Linked DNA regions of Callithrix jacchus. The protein of the gene in region 2 interacts with the protein of the main gene of each other region in a biochemical or structural test. Links are inferred from orthologs where the notes say so. Each region holds a gene or a part of one and is shown on either strand. Other genes may lie near its edges.

Region 1 (4,443 bases), on a different chromosome or scaffold from region 2:
TGCCTCACTCCGGCTGGTCCCTATACCACAGCCAGGACACATTTAGCATCACACCCCTGTTTAAATCCTTCCCTGTCTCTTGGGATCAAAGCCAAACCTTCACCTGGTGTGTGCTTCCTGCCGGCTCCCTCTGGCCTCTCCTCAGCCCCTCCCTGGCCTGGGCCTCGGCCACCTGGCCTCCCTCCCTTTGTTCCTCAAACTCTCCCAGTGTTTTCCCTCCTGCCTCGGCTACTCTGTGTGTGCCCTCTGCCAGTTTCCCTCTGTCCACACGTCCACCTGCTCCTCTGTCCTTGGCTATGCAAAACTCCAGGCCTCTCTGGGACCCTGGAGGCCCTGTCACCCCAAAATGCTGAGGTGGCAGTTATCTTATGACCTGTCCACTGTCCGTCTCCCCAACCAGGGGCGTTGTGGGGACCAGGTCTGACTGGTCACGGTGCTGCCTGCCTGGGCCTCTCTCCCTATAGCGCTGTCCTCACCCTGGGCCTGGGTCTGCTTGGTTGGGGAGAAGATGGGAGAAAGGGTCAAGGGGCAGGAGCCCTTTGGATGGCAAGCCAGCCTAGGCTTGGGGTTGCCCCTCCCCCAGAAGATCCCGGCTGTCACCATCCAAAAATAACCTGTCTGTGGGTATGTGTGCCAGGGCTGGGCCACACTGCCAGTGGCCAGTGGGCAGAGCCAGGCCCTTTGGACAGTGGGGCATGACAACAACAGCTGCAGAGGGGGTTTTCTGCCCAGAGGGCTGTGCCACTCTTGGGGGGGTGCCCCAGCCCATGTCCTCTACGGCACCCTCAACCCTACCTGCCCTCCCCCCGCACCAGGTGATTGGGCTGCTGGACGTATTCACTCCTGATGAGACCCTGGATGACTTCACGGACTTGTGAGTGCTGACCTGGGCTGGCTGCCAGGCACAAGGGGTGTTGGGCAGCTCTGGGTACTGGCTTCAGGTTCTAGGTTGGCATGGGGCTCTCTTCCTGCAGGCTGAGTGGGGGATGCACATTGCCCAGCCCCTCCCCCACATGCTCCTGGGACCCACGGGCACTGGCACTGCCCAGCAGAGCTGGGGCTGCCGCCTCCCTCCAAGTCTGGCACCTGGGCCCTCTCCAGCACTGGAGGTGTGAACCTTGGACCTGAGCATTTGTTAACAGGAAGGTCCCGTGCCTGGGACCTTCCTGGCACCAAGTGTGTGGCCTGTAATGGGAGCTGCTGACCTTTTCCGACGGGTACAGGAGAAGCAGTAGGGAGGACCTGCCCTGCCCGTGCCCTGTAGCCGACCACCCTGAAACTCACACCTTGTCGGCCAAGAGTGAAGGTCCAGGCTGAGGAAGAGCTGGAGAAGGCAGCAGGCTCCTCTCGCCTGACTTGCAGAGGTCAAGGACCCACGCTGGCCTCAGTGGCCACTGAGAGGGGCTATACCATGCTTCTGTGTCTGTCCACCAGCCCAGCTGACCCCACTGACCCAGATGCCTTGTGAGCCCCTAACACCTCCAGGCACCTCCCTCGTCTCTGGCACAAAGTTCTGAAGTTGAAACCTGACTGCTTCCCTCCCCTGCCTGTGAAGACTTGAGCCCTGCTGCCTCCACCACGCAGCCTCAGCCCCTAGACTGGCACGCAGGGCACTCAGTGGAGGGTTCAAAAACCCCAAAGTGCATCCTCCACTCTGCCTGACAGTCCTCGGGGTGGGAGGGAGGTGTGAGCATTGCTGGCAGTGATGGGGTTGGGTCTGGATGGAGCCTGGCACTACAAGGTGCAGCTTCGAGGATGCCGAGGCCAGTGGGGATAGGTGCTGCAGGGGGATCTTCCCAGAGGCACTTGCTGGAGCGGGATGGGTCTGAGCCTGGGCCTGCTGGGTGGGCCTCCAGGATGCAGAGGCTGGCCCTGCCTACTGATGGCACCCGGCCCCTTCCACAGTTATCTGGTGATGCCATTCATGGGCACTGACCTGGGGAAGCTCATGAAGCACGAGAAGCTGGGAGAGGACCGGATCCAGTTCCTCGTGTACCAGATGCTGAAGGGGCTGAAGGTATGGACCCCGGGGGAGGCTGCAGGGAGGTGGCAGGGCCTGGTGGCCGGGTGGAGGAGGGTCTTGTGGCTCTGAGACCTTGGTACACTGATGCCTGCCCAACCCTCTGCCCCCACAGTATATCCACGCTGCCGGCATCATCCACAGAGTGAGTCCTGGAGAGGAAGCCACCCATCAGCCCTCTCCTGGCGCAATTTCCCCGCCTCCACGTCCCACCTGTGAGGATCTCACAGGGTCTGGGGGGGACTGAGCCATGCCCCATGCACAGCCCCTGTTGGGAGCCTGCCTGGTGTCCAGGTCCCTCCCTCCATCCTTGAAGGGCTGCAGAGAGCAAGGGGGCCAGGTCTGGTGGCCCTGTCTCTAGGTCCCACCCAGGCTCTTGGCTGTGCCCATGCCTGGGAGGGTGGGACACAGTGGCCACCTTTCCTCTGCCCCCAGGACCTGAAGCCTGGCAACCTGGCTGTGAATGAAGACTGTGAGCTGAAGGTTTGTGCAGCAGGCCCTGAGCTGGGGCACGGGCTCCCTCAGATCTACCATCTATCTACCTGTCCTCAGGCCTGGGCAGGGGACCTGATCCCAGACTCTAGGCAGTAGCTGAGGAGCGGGTGGGTGGTTGAGCCCCAGGAGGCCGTGGTACAACCCATTGCCATACCTGCAGTGGGTGAGGGTGGGAGGCGCCCCCAGGCCCCTGCCTGGTCCAGGGCAGGGCTGAGGCCTTGTCAGGCAGCAGGTGACAGCAGGGAGAGGGCACCTGCTCTGGAGGGCAGCTGGGCTCAGTGCATTGGCCACAGCGAGGAGCTCAGGGCAGTTTGGGGTCTGGGGCTGTGGCCTCAAGCCCTAGAAGGTTGTCAGGAGGTCCCCGATTGGGGGGTTCAAGTCCAGCCCTCTTGGGGTCTCCTACATTATGGGTGGCCTGACCACTCCTTGGGAGTGCCCTAGACCCCACTTCCCCAATTTTTCCCACAGATCCTGGACTTTGGCCTGGCCAGGCAGGCCGACAGCGAGATGACTGGGTATGTGGTGACTCGGTGGTACCGGGCACCTGAGGTCATCTTGAATTGGATGCGATACACACAGACGGGTGAGGAGCTGCCCAGAGATGTGGGCCTCTCAGGCTGCACCATCTGCTTCCCCTCTTCACGGAGAGCCCCTGGTGGCTGCTTCCAGGGAGGCTGTTGAGCTGGGGTGGGAGCCGGGCGAGTGGGCTGTGTCAGTGTCTCCTCCCTTCCTGTCTCATTCTGGCCCCCTGCCCACGGAGCTGACCAGGGCTTCTATCTCAGTGGACATCTGGTCTGTGGGCTGCATCATGGCAGAGATGATCTCAGGCAAGACACTGTTTAAAGGCAGCGACCGTATCCTCCAGCAGCGGGGCGGCACGGGGCAGGTGGGGCTGGCTCCTGCCCACGTGGAGGGTATTGGGGGAGGATGGCTGCTGCCCAGGTGGAGGGTATTGGGGGGGAAAATGGCTTCTGCCCAGGTGGAGGGTATTGGGGGAGGATGGCTCCTGCCCAGGTGGAGGGTATTGGGGGGGGAAATGGCTTCTGCCCAGGTGGAGGGTATTGCGGGAGGATGGCTCCTGCCCAGGTGGAGGGTATTGGGGGGGAAATGGCTTCTGCCCAGGTGGAGGGTATTGCGGGAGGATGGCTCCTGCCCAGGTGGAGGGTATTGGGGGGGAAATGGCTTCTGCCCAGGTGGAGGGTATTGGGGGGGAAAATGGCTCCTGCCCAGGTGGAGGGTATTGGGGGGGAAATGGCTTCTGCCCATGTGGAGGGTATTGGGGGAGGATGGCTGCTGCCCAGGTGGAGGGTATTGGGGGGGGAGTGGCTCCTGCCCAGGTGGAGGGTATTGGGGAAGGATGGCTCCTGCCCAGGTGGAGGGTATTGGGGGAAGTGGCTCCTGCCCAGGTGGAGGGTATTGGGGAGGGAATGGCTTCTGCCCAGGTGGAGGGTATGGGGGGGATGGCTCCTGCCCAGGTGGAGGGTATTGGGGGGGGGTGGAATGGCTCCTGCCCAGGTGGCAGGTATTGGGGGTTGGGAATGGCTTCTGCCCAAGTGGGGGTGGTGAAGGTCCCAATCTCTGGCACCCGAGCTGTGCTCCTGACCTCAGTACAGACCTGGACCAGCTGAAAGAGATCATGAAGGTGACAGGAACGCCTCCAGCTGAGTTTGTGCAGCGGCTGCAAAGCGATGAGGTCAGTGGTCAGTGGGGCGCTTGGTGGGATTGGGGGCAGACTCAGGCCTCGGTGCTGGCCCCTCACCCTTTCTTCCCACACAGGCCAAGAACTACATGAAGGGCCTCCCTGAGTTGGAGAAGAAGGATTTTGCCTCCATCCTGACCAACGCAAGCCCTCTGGGTAGGGCTGGCTAGCGTGGGGGCCACAGGGTGCTGTAGTGTGGGACCTCCTGAGGTCTGGCCTGACATACCTT
Region 2 (4,514 bases):
ATCTGAAGTCTTATGCTTCTTGGTGTATTCCTTGAGAATCTGGCGTATGCAAGACATAGTCTGGGTAAGAGAGTCCTTCAGAAGTTGAATTTTATCATCTGACCTAATATAGGGAAATTGCTGTTCTCAATGCTTTTCTGCTGTCCCCAGTTTTGTTCTGATGATGACATTATTGGAGAATCAGAACAATCTGAGCATATCACACCTACCAAAGTTAAGGTTGTACTCCTTATGAGCCAGGCACTGTGCTACATATCTTCTGCCCACTATCTTATTTAATTCTCTCTCACAGAATCCGTATGAGGAAGCTATTGTAATTATCTCCATTTTTTTAAGTGGGGTAACTAAGATCCAGGAAGTTATGAAACTTTGAAATATAGATCTTATAGTAAATAGAAAGCATGGACTCAAATGCAAGTCTGTCTAAGGCCAGAGCCAGGGCTTAACCACAACATTCTATGTCACTAACATGGAATGCAACTTTTGAAAGGAATATTAAAGATTAGCTACTTCAATCCCTGTATTTTATGGATGGGGACACCTAGATAGAAAGAAATGAAAGCACTTTCCCAAGAGAGTTGGTGAGTTTGTCGCAGACTCAGAAAGAGAGCCCAGGTCTTGACCCTCAGTTTATTGCATTTCCTACAGCTCATCTTCTGTCTCTTCCCCCTCCATACTGGAAAGGTCTGCGGCCCATCTCCTGGGATTGTTTAAACGGACATAGCGGGTAGAGGGAAAGGGGGCTGTGTCTGAATTGGAGCTCATCAACTCAATGTACTGGCAGTAAAAATCAGTCCTTCCTAAATCTTCCAAGTCAGGCTGTAATTACAGGCAGAAAGGCTGAAATTTAGACATAAGTGATTTTCCTGGTGGGCAAAAATAGCCTTGAATTTTTAAGCCATGGATAAAGCAGGAGACTGATTCTTGTTCTTTTCTACTTTGCTAGAGAGTAGTCACCTTTAGGAAAAAGTACACAATGGGTGATTGATAGAGCAGCAACTGAATTAGAAATATTCTTAGTAAAACGGGCTTTTAAGTCACTACTTTATTTCCAAGCAGGTGCCTCACACTGAACCTACTGATTGAAACATACAAACAAACATTCAACAAAAAATTCTGTGGATCCATTTTAAAAGTTAGAAATATGCTTGGCTAGAAATTACTCTCAGAAAGTGAATGTCAGCAAACCAAGTGTCAGCCACAGGGAATGGCCTTCATCATGACTGCCTGTGGCACTCACGGCAAGATATTTGGCACTGTTTTGGTGCCAGAAGTATAGCATCATTCAGAAGAGTGGGGCTGCAATTTTGACGTAAAAAGTCCCTATGCCCTGTTAAGCCTGTTCTGCCCTTTCCTTCCTGAAAGCCAGCAAATTCACTGACTAACCCAGTGGCTAGGGAGGACCTAAACAGAGACTAGTCATTACGACATCAAAGTCCTCTTTGAAGTTCTACATTTGACAGCTTAAATGAGATGATATGTTCTCCTGAAATGCCAAGGACAACACTTGCTAGACAGCATAAGAGTGTGCAATTCACCCTTCTGTGCAAGTGAAGTCATATACTTTTTCATTATGGCAGGCAGAAACCATCTCAGGAAATTATGAATTCAAACACATGGACTAACTTGCATTGAGATGAGCAGTATGTTACTATAACTGATATATTTGCTAATTTTGTTGCATAGTGTTTGACATCGGCTCCATGCTTCAGTGCCTTTGTCCGGCCCCCTGTGGACTCCAATGGAGTTGAGCAGTTTCTTTTCATTTTCTGGCTGCCCTCTTGCTCTGCCCCTCATCTGGCCCCTACTGTCTCTCTGCTGTATGTCCTCTCCTCAGAGACTTCCCTGACGGTAGGGACCATGTATTTTAGTTCACTGCATTCCCTAACATCTCTTACAATGCCAAGGTTATACGAGATGCTTGATACTTTTTAAAAATGCGGGGTACATTTTTTAAGCTGATGAGACCCTATTTGATAAGAATTTAATCAAACTTTGTAAAGGATTATTTCCTTTGACTCAAATATTTATGTAGTCTTCTACTGGAAAATGAGACTGAAGAAAAGAACTTTGAAATAATTGAACCTAATCACTGTTTTTCAAGGATCAAATAAAACATGGGCTTGCAAGCATTTCGTTAGCAGTCAAATGCCGAATAAGAGTAAGGCAGCATTATGTTGCAAAATGAAATATTAATATATGAAATCACACTGTCTAAAGAAAAGTACACTTACAATCTCTCCATCTTTGCCTCCAAAATCTAAGTACAGCATCCTGATTCCATCATCTGAAGACATTTTGAGCTTTTCGTAAGGAGACTGTAAGATTGTCTTGGGAAAGGCACCCTCCTGTGGTTCAGTGGTAATAGAAAATCCATTCTCATAATGTACGGTCAAACGGCACTCCTGGTTTTTGTAGGTGCAAGCTGAGAGAGAAAGAGAGAGAAAAAGAGACAGGTATGAACCACGGCGATCAATCCATTTTCCCACTCACTTCATGCCTCCTCAGTCCCAGTGATCAGCCACAAGATTCTTACTACTATAAAAACACAGTCATTGTTCATGAAAATATTCTCCTTGGATTTATTTTGGTGCTGTAATTTTTTTTTTTTTTTTTTTTTTAAGACGGAGTTTCGCTCTTGTTACCCAGGCTGGAGTACAATGGCACAATCTTGGTTCACCGCAACCTCCGCCTCCTGGGTTCAAGCAATTCTCCTGCCTCAGCCTCCTGAGTAGCTAGGATTACAGGCACGCACCACCATATCCAGCTAATTTTTTGTATTTTGAGTAGAGACGGGGTTTCACCATGTTGACCAGGATGGTCTCCATCTCTTGACCTCGTGATCCACATGCCTTGGCCTCCCAAAGTGCTGGGATTACAGGCGTGAGCCACCGTGCCTGGCCGGTGTTGTAATTTTAAAAAGCCCCATAGCCGAGCGCGGTGACTCACACCTGTAATCCCAGCACTTTGGGAGGCCGAGGTGGGCGGATCATGAGGTCAAGAGATGGAGACCATCCTGGCCAACATAGTGAAACCCCGTCTCTACTAAAAATACAAAAATTAGCTGGGTATGATGGCAACCGCCTATAGTCCCAGCTACTTGGGAGGCTGAGGCTGGAGAACTGCTTGAACCCGGGAGGCAGACGTTGCAGTGAGCTGAGATCGCGCCACTGCACTCCAGCCTGGCACCTGGCAACAGAGCGAGACTCTGTCTTAAAAAGAAAAAAAACAGAAGCCCCATAGAACTAAGGAAATTAAATGGAAAGAAATTCTTTTTGCTGGGATCTACTGAATGTTATCTGGGTTCTAGTCCTTATCTAGTCATCTGACAACACACAGGTCTGTAGGTGTACTGGCCTTCCAACAGCCCTGTGGGCCTTGCCTCAAGCCAGAAAAAAACCAGAACGTTGGTTTAAATAAATAAGGCCAGTAGGGTGCGCTGGCTTACACCTGCAATCCCAGCTTTGGGAGGCCAAGGTGGGTGGATCACTTGAAGTCAGAAGTTCAAGACCAGCCTGGTCAATATGGTGTAACCCCATCAAATTTGTATTTGCTAAAATATTAAATGCTAAAACCCCAACCAATTTGTATTTGCTAAAAATAAAAATATTAGCCAGATGTGGTGGTGTGCACCTATAGTCCCAGCTACTCTGGAGGCTGAGACAGGAGAATAGCTTGAACCTGGGAGGCAGAGGTTACAGTGAGTAGAGATTGCTCTACTGTACTCTAGCCTGGGCGACAGAGCAAGACTCTATCTAAAAGAAAAATTTTTTTAAATATGAATAAATAAATAAAGCCACCTTTGAATCATCATCCTCATCATCATCAACACACACACACACACACACACTCACACTCACACACACACATCTACCACATGGTGAAAGAAGACAGCATGGCCTGTGACATTATCTACGTTAACTAATGTAAACACGTAAGTCAGGAATGAGTGGTTTAAAAATAATCTAATTTTTAAAAGTCTAGCAAATCTCTTTCTAGAAATTGAGAGGGGTGTTCTTTTAATTCCCCTGATGATCTTGGGTCCTGGAAAAGCTGCTGTTGCTAACAGACCTCAGATGTGGCATCTTCCATGAAGAGCACTCCTGGTGTGGTATCCAGGAATCTCAGCGGTGGTATGCACATAGTGCCCTCTGATCCAAAGAAACAAACCAAAAACCTCCTGAGCAGGTACGGTGCCAGCTTTTACCTGGGATTCTCACTATGTTTGGGAAAAAGAGTCCTGCTCTTTAAGCTTATGAGCTGGGCACGGAGACTGGCACAGCATCCTAATTCCTATTTAGGAAGACTTGTGAATGCTTAAAACTCTTGATCAAAGGTTCTGGAAAAGGTTATTACGGATCAGATTGGATTTTTTGCTTCACAAAACACCACATTTAACAGACGGTGACGAGTAAATTGGCTCAGGTTTTGATCTACATCTAAAAGATCTGTAGGGAAACCAGGACACTCCCTGCTGGGGGTGGGGCTTGAAAGCATAAGAGCAAGGGCTTTAT
Region 3 (4,514 bases), on a different chromosome or scaffold from region 2:
TTGTTACCCAGGCTGGAGTGCAATGGCGCGATCTCGGCTCACCGCAACCTCCGCCTCCTGGGTTCAGGCAATTCTCCTGCCTCAGCCTCCTGACTAGCTGGGACTACAGGCATGCGCCACCATGCCCAGCTAATATTTTGTATTTTTAGTAGAGACGGGGTTTCACCATGTTGACCAGGATGGTCTCAATCTCTTGACCTCGTGATCCACCCACCTTGGCCTCCCAAAGTGCTGGGATTATAGGCGTGAGCCACCGCGCCTGGCCGGGATCATGTTCTAAAGTGATGAATTTGTATTTTAATACTAAAATTTAAATAGAAAAGAAGTCTTGAGATAGTCAATTCTCAACTTTTAGGGAACACATTATTGTGCATATTAAGACAAAAATAGGATGTAAACCAGATGTTCCTAGATTACGAAATTTAGAAAAGAACATATTCAAAGTGAAGATAGCTTTTAGCATATATATTTAAAGATACTGCAGTCACACCCCACAATGTTGAAATGCTGTATTTCTCATGGTTTGACTCTAGTCAGTGGAAATATTCATGAGTTTATATTATTAGGTTTTTAGTGAGTTCTATCATTTTTGTAATTGCTATAGCTAGTATTAATAAACGTCTTCTTTTTATATGCTGAAATAAATTAATGGAGGCGGCAGACACTATGCAAAATGGCTGGGAATTGGGCCAAATCTTTTTACATACATCCAGGGACCAGTAATCTTCTAAATGACACTTTATGCTCTCTTGCCCAAATAATTACAAGTACAGCCAGCATGTAATTTACTGAAATAATTATCCACTCTTCTAGTTCCCATCACCCATCTCAAGTCCACAGCCACTTACCTTGTCTTTATTTTCAAAGCCAGAAGCCTCAGGCTTGGTTCTAATCACAAACGGGGTAGACAGTCGCAGCAGGACCCTTTCGAAGGTGGCACTGACCTTTGGAGACACGATCTCAAAGCAGTCCTCAAACTTGAGCACTTTGTGAGTGTCACACCGAAGCTGCTTCCTGAGACCTCCCCCCAGCTGCAGGACTGACATGCTGGGGTCAAACATCAGGTGGAAAGGGAAGGCTCTGCAGAAGGTGTTGATGCTAATTCTGAGGTCCGCAGGAACTTGGGAAGGTCCCTGGGGAAGGTTCTTTGTGATCTTAGTATTTTCACATTCTTTGATAAGGAAAGTAAGACAGCTACAATTGCCTGGGTTTGAACCATCAGAGCACAGCTTCTCATTCGCAACCTGTTCCACTTCCACGTCCAGCCGATAGATCTTCTTTCCTGCAGCCTTAATCATCCCCAGCATTGCAAACCCCACAATATGGTGAGGGTGGAAGTAGTGGAGCATGAGAGTACCGTCAGGGAGCTCTTTGCATAGGAAGGATGGTGACTCCAGCGTGGCCTGTTTTCCGAAAGAAGTTCTAATGTGTTCCAACAAAGCATCGAAGCCGTTGAAGAAGTCCTGCAAAGTGCCACCCACAGCTCGAAGGACTCTCTCATTCTCATCGAAGCATGTATTAAAGAACTCTTCGCCAAACCTTTCTTGAATTTCCTCAAACTTCAAACCTAGAGGTAAACGGGAAGCAAATGTTAGTGAAGTTTAATATAAATAATTGAATTTATAGGTTTTTAAATGTTTATCAAAAGAGGTAACTACTGAGTGAAGTGACAAAGGTTATGTTTCTTGGACCCACAAATTTCCACATAGGTTAATGCACTCATCTCAAATCAGAAAAATTAAATTTCAGTTCATCTTCAGGATGCTTCTAAAATGTTAATGAACAACCTTGTTGTTTGTTTTTAAATAGACTACATATTTTTAGACCAGTTTCAGATTCACAGCAAAATTGAGCAGAAGGCACAGTTATTTCCCAAATCTCTCTGCCCCCACACACGCACAGCCTGCCCCATTATCACATCCCCCACCAGAGTGGTACATTTATTACAATCTGTGAACCTACATGATGCTTTATCATCATCCAAAGTCCATGGTTTACATTAGGGTTCACTCTTAACACTGTATATGCTGTGGGCTTAAACAAATGTATACACTATTATCATAGCACACAGAGCATTTTCACTGCCTTAAAAATCCTCAGTTTATCCCTTCCATCCCACTAACTCCCAGAGCATCAACTTTTAAAATGCTGCTAATCTAGCTGTTCACATTTCAATAGCCTTGCAGTAGTTATCACACATAATGTATTTCTCTTTCTTAATTTGACTTCCCCATTCTTCATAGAATATCCAAGTTGCCTACATATCATATCCACATACCATCCATATTATCATCTTACTTCTTATCAAAATGCATGTATTAAGTGGAAAATATAAACCAGAGAGTAAATCTATGGCACATGAGCGAAGAGAAGCATCAAGCTGTCTGGTGGAAATAAAAGCCTTATATTAGCAATCTCCGGGAAAGTCATGCAGGTCAGCTAGACCTCAGGGAAAAGGAGACAAAACAAGAAAATAATAATGGCAGAACTACAGAATGATTTGCATTCTTTCATCCACAAAAGTGAGGGCCGCCAAGAAGGGAGTAGGAATCTGATGAGAAAGGATTAAAGCTTGCTGTTAAGTTTTCTCCATATATACTCGCTGCCTGATGCCCTGGCAAAAGGGATTCCACCTTATAGTACTAGATATTATAATGAAAAATAATTAAGTGTGCATAATATGTCATTTAGTAATAAGAAGCAGGATCACGTGTGATCACCAGATCCACCCTTGAGGACGATCTGAGGAAAAATGAGGGAATGCATGTGCCACGGAGGACTAGAACACATACAAAAGATTTTGGTCTGCATATTAAAGACAGCTTCTACCTAAAGTCACTCCATTGCTCCTCCTTTAACATCGGTTGAAATCAATATATGTAGTTTACATATTCATATTTTCTTGCCCTATTACTTCATCTCATTAGGAAGTTCTACAAATCAGGCAGAACTGGAAAGAGACAGGTTACTTTGCTAGTGCCCTGTCAGAGTGCAGAGCAATCTAGACAGTCTACGGCTCAGTTCCTTTTCTACTTTTATCACTCCCTGAGTGTTCCTCTCAACCAGAAGTGAGGCAAAAGAACAGAGTCCATAATATTATTTTTAAACTAGAGTCCAAGCACATCTAATACTCTTTAAGAGGTTACTGGAGTCTAAAAATGGTGGTAGCCAAGAAGTCATTTTGACAAAGAACCTCTTATAATCAATGTGATAGGAAAATGAGGAGAAAACCTAAGTGAGAAAGAGTCTCTTTATTAACAAGCATTTCAAATTAATTTGGGTTTCATGGATTGGATGCTCAAGACTCGCTGAAAAAGTCACCTATTTAGATAAAAATATCACCACTCATCTCACATTGCCAGGTTACAAGACTGCTCTTCAACATACGTTGCATTCACTAACAATAATGTCAGCCAGAATTGATAATAATAGTACTCATCTGTCCAGCTCCCTGGTGTAGAAAACAAGCTAAACAATATTCGCTGCCATCTGGCTCTTGTTGTGACTGCTCTGTTGAAACAGCTTTCATAAATACTTAACCCAATGTACTGTTTCGTCCTTATCCTACTTAACCTTGTTTGCTGTTTTTCCTTTCATTTGACACTGTTCATCATCTCTTCCTCCTATCTTCTGGCTTATCAAACAGTACTCTCCCGGCTTGACTGTTACCTCTCTGAACATTAATTCTCACTTCCTTCGCTATAACTTCTTCCTATGCCAAATCCTTACGTCGCCATCACTGCGTGTAACTAGAAAACTCTAACATACAAATGAAATTTATATACACATTCAGTGACAGTCCTCTCTTGCTATGAAATCTTCCAGTTATGAAATTCGTACTAAAAACTAAATACAGAGTAAATAAAAATTCCTATAAACTGACCATATATGCTGAACTACAATATTTCGTGTGCCACTCAGAATCTTCCATGGATCACTTCTAAACTTTGAAGAATTGTATTTTCAAAAGAGTTAGGGCCCGTATGCATTGAAGAGAAAAAGAGAAGTTCTTCTATCTTTCTCATAACATTGAAAATGCCCTCACAGCTATCATGCACACAAATGTAAAGATAATGCAGTAAGCTTATGTTCTCTGTCTAATGCCAGGATCTCATAGAATCATCCAGAAAGTAACAAGTTCACCACAGGCAACAAAATAAAAGCTACTCTATGCACAGCAATCTCTCAGCCAGAAAACCTTGCTGCTCTATAAAGGAACTTGGTACTGCAATGACTGGACATTTTCCAATGACGATGCTAAGGAACACCAGAAGCTAAAGTAACATTTGTATCACTAAAAACGTTGAACTTTTTAAATATTATATTAAAATATTAAGCATGGCAATTTTATATAAACCCTTAATATTCAGTTAACTAATAAAGATTTTATTCTCACAATGGTTAAACTCCACAAGATCAGAAAAGAAAATAAATTCTTAGATTAAAACCAAGAAATGATTACTTCAACTTTTACAAATATACCAAGACTTTCATTTTAAACCTAATCTCAAAAT

The links.
Region 1: the proteins of SNTB1 (region 2) and MAPK12 interact in a test that uses a peptide from one of them, tested with the Homo sapiens proteins (2 studies listed by IntAct, with this or other methods). The link is inferred for Callithrix jacchus from reciprocal best matches to the Homo sapiens genes SNTB1 and MAPK12.
Region 3: the proteins of SNTB1 (region 2) and GUCY1A2 interact in a test that uses a peptide from one of them, tested with the Homo sapiens proteins (2 studies listed by IntAct, with this or other methods). The link is inferred for Callithrix jacchus from reciprocal best matches to the Homo sapiens genes SNTB1 and GUCY1A2.

Annotation. Positions count from the first base shown.
Region 1 is NC_133502.1:218,834,435-218,838,877, reverse strand, and holds part of MAPK12 (mitogen-activated protein kinase 12), read left to right. Parts: intron 1-815; coding exon 816-874; intron 875-1,905; coding exon 1,906-2,017; intron 2,018-2,135; coding exon 2,136-2,165; intron 2,166-2,455; coding exon 2,456-2,503; intron 2,504-2,983; coding exon 2,984-3,098; intron 3,099-3,297; coding exon 3,298-3,369; intron 3,370-4,128; coding exon 4,129-4,208; intron 4,209-4,291; coding exon 4,292-4,370; intron 4,371-4,443. UniProt on the Homo sapiens protein: Serine/threonine kinase which acts as an essential component of the MAP kinase signal transduction pathway.
Region 2 is NC_133517.1:76,824,684-76,829,197, reverse strand, and holds part of SNTB1 (beta-1-syntrophin), read right to left. Parts: intron 2,426-4,514; coding exon 2,235-2,425; intron 1-2,234. UniProt on the Homo sapiens protein: Adapter protein that binds to and probably organizes the subcellular localization of a variety of membrane proteins. May link various receptors to the actin cytoskeleton and the dystrophin glycoprotein complex.
Region 3 is NC_133511.1:6,813,253-6,817,766, forward strand, and holds part of GUCY1A2 (guanylate cyclase soluble subunit alpha-2), read right to left. Parts: intron 1,568-4,514; coding exon 849-1,567; intron 1-848. UniProt on the Homo sapiens protein: Has guanylyl cyclase on binding to the beta-1 subunit. Isoform 2 acts as a negative regulator of guanylyl cyclase activity as it forms non-functional heterodimers with the beta subunits.